Linked DNA regions of Caenorhabditis elegans. The protein of the gene in region 1 interacts with the protein of each later gene in a pairwise test. Each region holds a gene or a part of one and is shown on either strand. Other genes may lie near its edges. The genes, in order: npr-21 and T06C10.3.

Region 1 (3,925 bases):
AACCACAATTTGTTTTCAGAAATATGTCTGAGTTGTAGATGTAATAGAATTCATACTGAATTGAGCATCGGAAAAGCAAAATATATTACTCGGTATTCTTAGACAACCGGGAAGAAGAAGCCAGGTTTTGTAGGCAGACGCTCGGCAAAAACAGGAGGTGCTAATTCATTCACGTCTCCATTTTTTTTCGAAAGTTCTCATATTTTGGAGTGTGATTTTTTGAGAATTTATCATAAATCAAAAGGATAATGGCTGTTCATAGCATCTAGCCTGATTCAAAAATTTCGAAATAAATTTTTTAATCATTTGCGAAAAAAACATTTTTCCGACATTAAACATTTAGTTTAAAATTTCAAATTCACATTTAATGATTTACAAATTTCCAAGAAAACAATTCCCGTGAAAATGAACATTTTTGCGCGCGTTCTCACACGTATTAAGTGTCTAATGGTTAGTAATGACTGGCAAAATTGGGATAGAAATTCACGTCATTATTTATGCGATTTGAGCTGGAAGAAAACAATTTTTCTTTGTAGATTTTGAAATTTTTTGAATTTGTGATATTATTTTTTTTTCTTGTAATTTTCTCCCATTTGGTTTGACTTGCAAATATGTAAATTTGGAAAATGCCCTCATTAAAATTTTTTTCTTAAATTCTTAGATTTTCTTTGAGCTCAAGGATAGTATCTTTTAGTTTAAAATGTTCGCTCTGGTACTCTGAATTTTCCAAAAATGCGAACGTGTCTGAGTCCAACAACTCCCAGGTTTCGCGTTGCTCTCAACATCGCCGCGCGGAACACGGTAGTTGTCGGACCGTGTTGCATCATTACTTAGAAATTTTCTGAGCAATTGACTCCGAAAATGGATGTGTTCAAATTTGTGAAAATTGAGCATTCAACACTTTTGTTGGGTTGAGTTTGAAAATTTGAACTTGAACAGACAATTCCCTGTGATCCTTTGTAGCTAAATCTATGTTCTCAGATAACCAACAGTTGGGGGGTAAACCTGCGTGGGTGTGGTTTTATGCTAAATGCGCAGCCGACACCGATGGAAGTCCGCGATTTACAACTTGAGTACCTGTTATATTCGAAAAATAACTTTTCGATGAAGTGTGAAAGTTACTATTAATTTTACGGTGACTAACCTTTTCAAAATCCCGCTGGCATTCAACTTCAAGTTTTATCTTTAAAGCTTATTCACTTTTGACTTTTTGTACACTTCCGATCTTTGAGTTCCACCTTTCGACATCCGCCTACTTTATGTGCATATCGTCAACTCTGAACGACATCGTAACTTCTTCCTCCTATTCCCTGAAACATTTCCACCTGCTCTTCTATTCATAGAATGATGTGGTGGGTGTCAACCTAGGATACTTTGAGCTTTTTTAAAAATTCACTTGATCTATGTGTCTTCCCGACTTCCTTTTCTCTCCGAATTCTTTTCCGAATTCCCCCGAATTTCTTTACTTGGAAAGTAAAAGAGGAAATTAGACGGCAAAAAGAAGATGTGTTTCGTGAACTTTTCACAACACTTCAAGCGTTCTTCTTTGAACTGCCCGTCTCGTCTTGCAACTTTTTTCATTTCATTCTCGTTTTTTTCATCTCATTCACATCTTTAATCATTCATTGAAATCTTAGGGCCGAAAATCCAGTATCGTTTTCATTCTTCTTTTTCGTTGCTCTAGCTCCTCCCCTGCGTCACAACATTTTTCAATTATTCTCAAAGTGTTATTTCTGTTTGTGTGGTTGGAATTCGAACTTTACACTTAAAACTTTTCACCTGCTCTACGTTTTTAGAAACTGTTACAATGTTTTTTCACCAGAATATTTTCAGAACGAATGGAAAGCGACTCCCCACTTAATCATCCTGTGGTACACTTTTTGCTCTGTGTATCCTACCTTTTTGTCTTTCTGGCCACTATAATCGGTATGCCAAGGATCTTTGTTCATATTTTTAATATCTGAAAATATTTTGCAATGATTATATTAAATATTGCAGATATTAATGGTTTTTTTTCGAAGTTTTTCGATGTTCACTTTCAAAATTCATTCTAAACCTAAAGCATGCTCCGGCATACCCAGAGATCATTTTCTGCTTCACACCTTTTCTTCACAATCGAATTGTTTTTTTTTCTAATTTCTTCTAACTCAGACTCGTGAATGCGACAAAATTTCATTTGATTTTCTCATTAGGACGGTTTTCGTAGCTAGGCAAACACACAACCAAGCAAACAATGACATTCATTTTTGATTTGTTATCCAATATCAGATGACAATATATCAGAAGACAGAATCAACAGTAGGCTATAATTAGATTACATTGAAGTGAGCAATAATTGGTGAAACTAAACTGATAATCGACATTTAGGTTCAAATTATATGGTAGAAGTACGTAGTTAATAGTAAGTGGTAGAGGACAAACTATTAGAACTTGAACAATTTATTTTAAAAAAGGAAATTAAGCTATGGGCAAATTTGAACAAAATTACCATCAAGCTATAACATAAATTCTTTCAGGAAATCTTATCATTCTGCTGGTCTTCTTCTCGCAGAAACGAGTCCGAAGTGTGCCCAACTTCTTTCTGGCAAATCTGACGGTAACTCTCCTCCAAAACTCACCTCCTATTCTGAAAATAATCTATTTCTAGGTTGCCGACCTTTTTGTCGGAATCTTCTGCGTTCTCCAGAACGCTGTGAATTTTGTATTCCAAGGACATGGACGGTGGCCGTTTGGCAAAGTGTTATGTTATTCATACATCTACGTACTACACTTCATACCAAATGTGTCGGCTGGAATTCTGGTAGGCAATCATGACGTAGGGAATCTTTGAAAAGCAACATTTTGATATTCAGGTGCTGGTCTCGGTTGAAAGATTGATTGCGGTGCTCCGTCCATTGCGGGTGCGAAGAGCATTTTCACAAAAAGTGCTCATCACATCGTCAGCTGTTGTTTGGCTAAGTAAGCTGACTTAAAAAGAAATGTGGAAATGAAATGTTTTCTTAAATTTCAGCTAGCGCAGTTATGAACACCCCATATGTAGTGGCTAGCCAGTTTTTAGAGATATCAGACGGGAATGAGACATACACAGTAAGTAACTTCACCTACCTGCCTGCATACAGGTTAACCACAGCCGAGTATGAAAAAATTCAGGCTAAAAACTATTATTTAAAAAAAATTCTAAAACCGCTTGGATACAATATGGCTAAATATGCAAACTTTGCCATTGTTTTTTTTCTAAAAGAATTTTCTAAAGATCTTTTGTTAGTTGAAGTATTACCAAATTAGTTCAAGAAGTTCCTTTTCTCGAAATAAAGATTTTTCCAGATCTGCACTAGACGTCATGTGGAAATTTATGGATTCAACCTCCTGAAGCTAGTCGCCACTATCAACTTCATCGTCTGGTGCGTTCGTCAACTCTATATATATTTTGTTTTGACTTTTAAAATTTTTCAGGTACGCCGTCCCTCTAGTAATCCTTCTTTGCATCTACGCTACCATCGGCCTCGTGGTGAGCAAGGCCGCAACAATCACGAAACACTCCGCCAACAAGCTTTTGCCAAGATCAAGCTGGCGATCCGAAGCCTCAACCGGCGGTGTGTCAGTGGAGAAGAGGAGAAAGGTTTGTTTAAAGATTCAGAACATGTGTTCACAGTTTGTTTGTGCCAAGTCGAACCACTTTTTCTCAAACGTTTAGTTCTGAGAGATGACACTTAGCCATATGGTAAAACCAAAAGTTATTGAAATTTGTTGAATTATTCAAAAGTTTGGTATAGGGCAGCATTTGATATTTAGCTTGAAACTTGCTTTTTAAAAAAGTACATGTATAAATCAAAAGACTAGGCACATGTGTTTAAAACCAGTTCAAAAATTGGAACATTTATTAACGGGACAGAAAAAAAAAGGGTCATTCACTGTGAGGAAAGCC
Region 2 (3,925 bases), on another chromosome or scaffold:
GTAGAGAGAAGTGTTCAATTATTCCTTTTCCTTGTTAGACATTACCAGAACAATTCAATTTGCCACGTCATCAAAAGTACGTGATCAAAAAAGACCCGAAGATGATGTGATGAAGAAGGAGTGAAAGATGAAAGAAGACCACCAAGAAGCACGCTGAATTTTTGATATTATTAACATTTCTTCAGAGACTAGAGTACCTACTTTCGTTTCAACATTTTCTCATTTTCTTTCCTCTTTCCTCATTCTCATGACCTTACCATGAATTCACCCATCTCACTAATTATACGCCTAAATCTTTTCTTATTCTCGAATCATGGACACTTTTCTAGGCAATCAACTCATACAGCAAAGGATGCAACTCTCCATCGTTTTCGTCTTTTTTGTTCTCTGCTTGGCCGCTGTTTTTGCTGTTCCTATCAGCGATGGTAAGCTTTTTAACTGTATTTCTAGTATACACTCAGTTTTCGGTAAATGAGTCAAAGTAAAATCATGTAAGAATCTGAAATATTGAAAGTTGCGTTTTTTAACCATGAGAAAAATTTACTGGTTTTTTTGGGCATATGAGAATTTTCACTACGAAATTCGTTCACTTGAAAACATTTTGAGTATGCCTTCATAATATCGTTAGTTCTCCTTTACTAAATAACTTCCAATTTCATCAGATTTTTTTCGAAAAATTTTTAACAAGCTGGCTTAGTCATTATAAAAAACCGAGCTATTTTGGGTAAAATACACAGATTTGTTTGTTACAAGTTTTGCAACTGGCAAACAACTGATTTTGTTGTTTTTAGGCGATCTCACAGAATAATATTCTGTAGTTTGAGTTTTCCCAGCGTCAAAGAGAAACAAAATAAAACCGAAAACTGTCAATCAAAGTGGATTGATCAGAGTAAAAACTATCTTAATAATCCATTTCCAGCTTCCCGTGCTCGTCGTCAAGTCGCATCGGAGAAGCGTCAACCAAAGGCACGCTCTGGATACATTCGATTCGGAAAACGAAGAGTCGATCCAAATGCAGAACTTTTGTATCTCGACCAACTTCTCATTTGAATCCGGCATTCCGACATCTCTTTCATCATCTTCTTCATCATCTTCAACAAAATCCACGTCATCATGCGCCCTTTCTTTCTCTGCGTCTCGTCTAGTCTCTCATTCTCATGTTACAGTAATCCAACAATTATTGAACACTGAACAATTAATTCCTTCTTCTCAACCATCCCCACCAGTCGTCAAGTTTTCGTTTCATCAAATTTCTTGACCTGAAAAATATTCGTTTCATATTTCTAATAACGAAGATTTGATCTCGAAGCGCTTTTAACTAAAATGTCACCAAATAAATTATATTCATTTAATTTTACAATTGCTTCTCTTTTTCGTCTTTTATTTCTCTTGAATTCTTCTCCACCCATCGACCCCCGAACACATCCCAATGCTTTTTTGTTTGATTGTCGCATTCCAGTATTTTCAGTTTCAAAATACACAGCGAATAAAACGATTTGTTGTATTTTTATATTTAATATCATAAAAATTATTATGCTCAAGACTTTGAGTTCTCTATTTCAATAGAACATTTCCGAGTTCGTGAATCAGGGTATTGTGAATATGGATGAAAGAATCTGCTTCTATTATGACTTTGTGTTTATTTCTTCCCAGTTATTACATTATTACGTTATTATTAATCACTAAAATCTACTAATTGACGTTTACAACTTTAGTAGAGATCTGTTAAACATTAAAGCTCCAAGAAAACTACTCAATCAGTACAAGAACGAACTAGTCATAATTTTGGCGACCGCCGAAATTACCAACTGAATTTAATTTAAGACTTTTTTATTAAACTGCATATGAAACCCCAAACTTCGTCCTTTATATAATCAAATAAGAGAGACAAATTTTAAGATTTTTTTGTGTAGATTTGTGATTACTACAGTAATTCTTCAGGGGGTTGTGTGTACTCTAAATAAAAAAGGAGGTGGCAGTCCTGACGATTAAAGTAACATTTTTTATAAGGACATTTTGAGCCAAGTGATAAAAAACATCAGCATTTGGTTTTAAAAATCCAAAAACAAAAAAAAACGTGAACCCGAAATGAGAACGCAAAAAAACAACTTGGAAAAAACAAACATCGAAAATCTATAAAATCAATCGATTTTTGATTATTTCGAATTGTTCTCACAACTTCTTTTCCAATTAAATTTGGAAAATTATTTCTATCACAAAAGGTACGCAAGTTTCAAATTTTCAGGCTTCTTAATTCATTTGATTTTCAGAAGGAAAACATTGCAAAATGGGATCAAACGAGCTGTTTACAAGATCCGTGTACATGCAGTCATCGGTCTATTCGAATAATTCAAAGTGAGTCTAGTTTTGGGTATCAGCTGAAATTTCAATCTTTCTTTTTCAGAAGCAGTACATCTAGTTCATCTTCAAATTCCATTCCTACTCAAAGTGCTCCAGCGATGAATGCTGCTTCCTCTCCAAGGTTTGAGATTTTCAGAAAATAAATGAATTTCGATAGTTTGGTTTTTAGCAAAGAGCCAGCAAAGCAAGAAAAAGAGGATGACAAGAAGGAGGTAGAAGAGAAGAAAGAAATTGAGAAGTCGGTAGAGGCGAAGGTGGAGGGAAAAGTGAAGGCAAAGGTCGAGGTAAGAGCTTAAAGCCACTTCACAGTTAATTTGCGATGATCGTTTCCGCAATATGCACATTGTGTTCGGCTCTCGATCCATTGTGCGCACATTGCGAAGTAACTGTTGGAATTACGAATTAACTGTTTTTTTTTCAGTCCACGCAGAATACGGACAATAGTCAAGAATTGAAAGCTCCCGAAGAGAAACCAAAGAAGAAGAAGAAAAAAAAGTCTAATCTCATTGTTTCGGCTTCTGTTGAGAAACTATCAATTGTCCCTGAAAAGGAAGACTTTTCAATCTTGGAGAAAAAGCTTCGCGAGTTCAATTTCTACCACGGCTTTTTGCCTCGAGAGGATCTTCACACAACTTTGCACAATCCAGGCGATTTCCTTCTTCGAGTTTCTGAAGTTGTGGAAGGAGAGCACAAAGTCAATCGGGAAGTGATTCTATCACTCATTCCAGTGTCCACGGTATCAAAAGACGAGGAGGATAGGAAGAAGGTGAGGAGATTGATTCAGGCCTGAATGCTGCCTATATTTCCTACCTGATCTGACTGAGGGCGCCGATGTAGTACTTTATAAGAGGTAACGCGCGCAAATGACTGTAGTAGGTAGGCGTAGGCATGGAAGCGTCATCATAAAATATCGATGTACATTGCCACTATTTCAGGTCCGCAACGTTGTCATAAAACGTGTAACAAACTTATTCTTCTGTGAGATTACTCGAACCTTTGAGTCAATTTCGGATCTTGTCACTTACTACACAAAGAACCCTGGAGGATGTGCATCTGGAACATTTCAATTAAAACATCCAATTCTTCAGCAATCATGGGAATTTATGCATTCGGACGTAACAGTTGGAAAAGTTCTCGGAGAAGGAGCATTCGGAAAAGTTTGCTCTGGAACTTTGAAGCTTAAAGATGGAACGAATGTTGATGTTGCGATTAAAATGACAAAAGTGTCGGCATTCCTCAGCAAAATGAAGATCAAGGAAATGATGAATGAAGCGAGATTTATTCGAAACTTCAATCACAAAAATGTCGTTCGTTTGTATGGAGTTGCGCATCACGAACAGCCGCTCTACATTCTGCTGGAATTGGTGAAAGGTGGATCTTTGCAAGATCATATGAAGAAGGAGAAAGGAGCTGTTTCAATTGTGGAGAAAATCAAGTTTTGTTCTGGTGCAGGTAGAGGTATCGAGTATTTGCATCAAAACAATTGTATTCATCGGTTTGTTGTTTGATTCCGTATAAATTGATAAATGATTGTATTTCAGTGACATCGCTGCTCGAAACTGTC

The links.
Region 2: the proteins of npr-21 (region 1) and T06C10.3 interact in a two-hybrid assay, tested with the Caenorhabditis elegans proteins (one large-scale study listed by BioGRID).

The regions. Positions count from the first base shown.
Region 1 is NC_003284.9:17,155,871-17,159,795, reverse strand, and holds the start of npr-21 (G-protein coupled receptors family 1 profile domain-containing protein), read left to right. Parts: upstream 1-1,827; 5' UTR 1,828-1,838; coding exon 1,839-1,926; intron 1,927-2,516; coding exon 2,517-2,596; intron 2,597-2,647; coding exon 2,648-2,800; intron 2,801-2,852; coding exon 2,853-2,958; intron 2,959-3,010; coding exon 3,011-3,087; intron 3,088-3,324; coding exon 3,325-3,401; intron 3,402-3,453; coding exon 3,454-3,619; intron 3,620-3,925.
Region 2 is NC_003282.8:7,868,578-7,872,502, forward strand, and holds the start of T06C10.3 (Tyrosine-protein kinase), read left to right. Parts: upstream 1-2,173; 5' UTR 2,174-2,222; intron 2,223-2,270; 5' UTR 2,271-2,287; coding exon 2,288-2,355; intron 2,356-2,404; coding exon 2,405-2,482; intron 2,483-2,530; coding exon 2,531-2,645; intron 2,646-2,782; coding exon 2,783-3,127; intron 3,128-3,296; coding exon 3,297-3,856; intron 3,857-3,902; coding exon 3,903-3,925. Other genes in the region: flp-10 (FMRF-Like Peptide), read left to right, coding at 353-425, 920-1,050.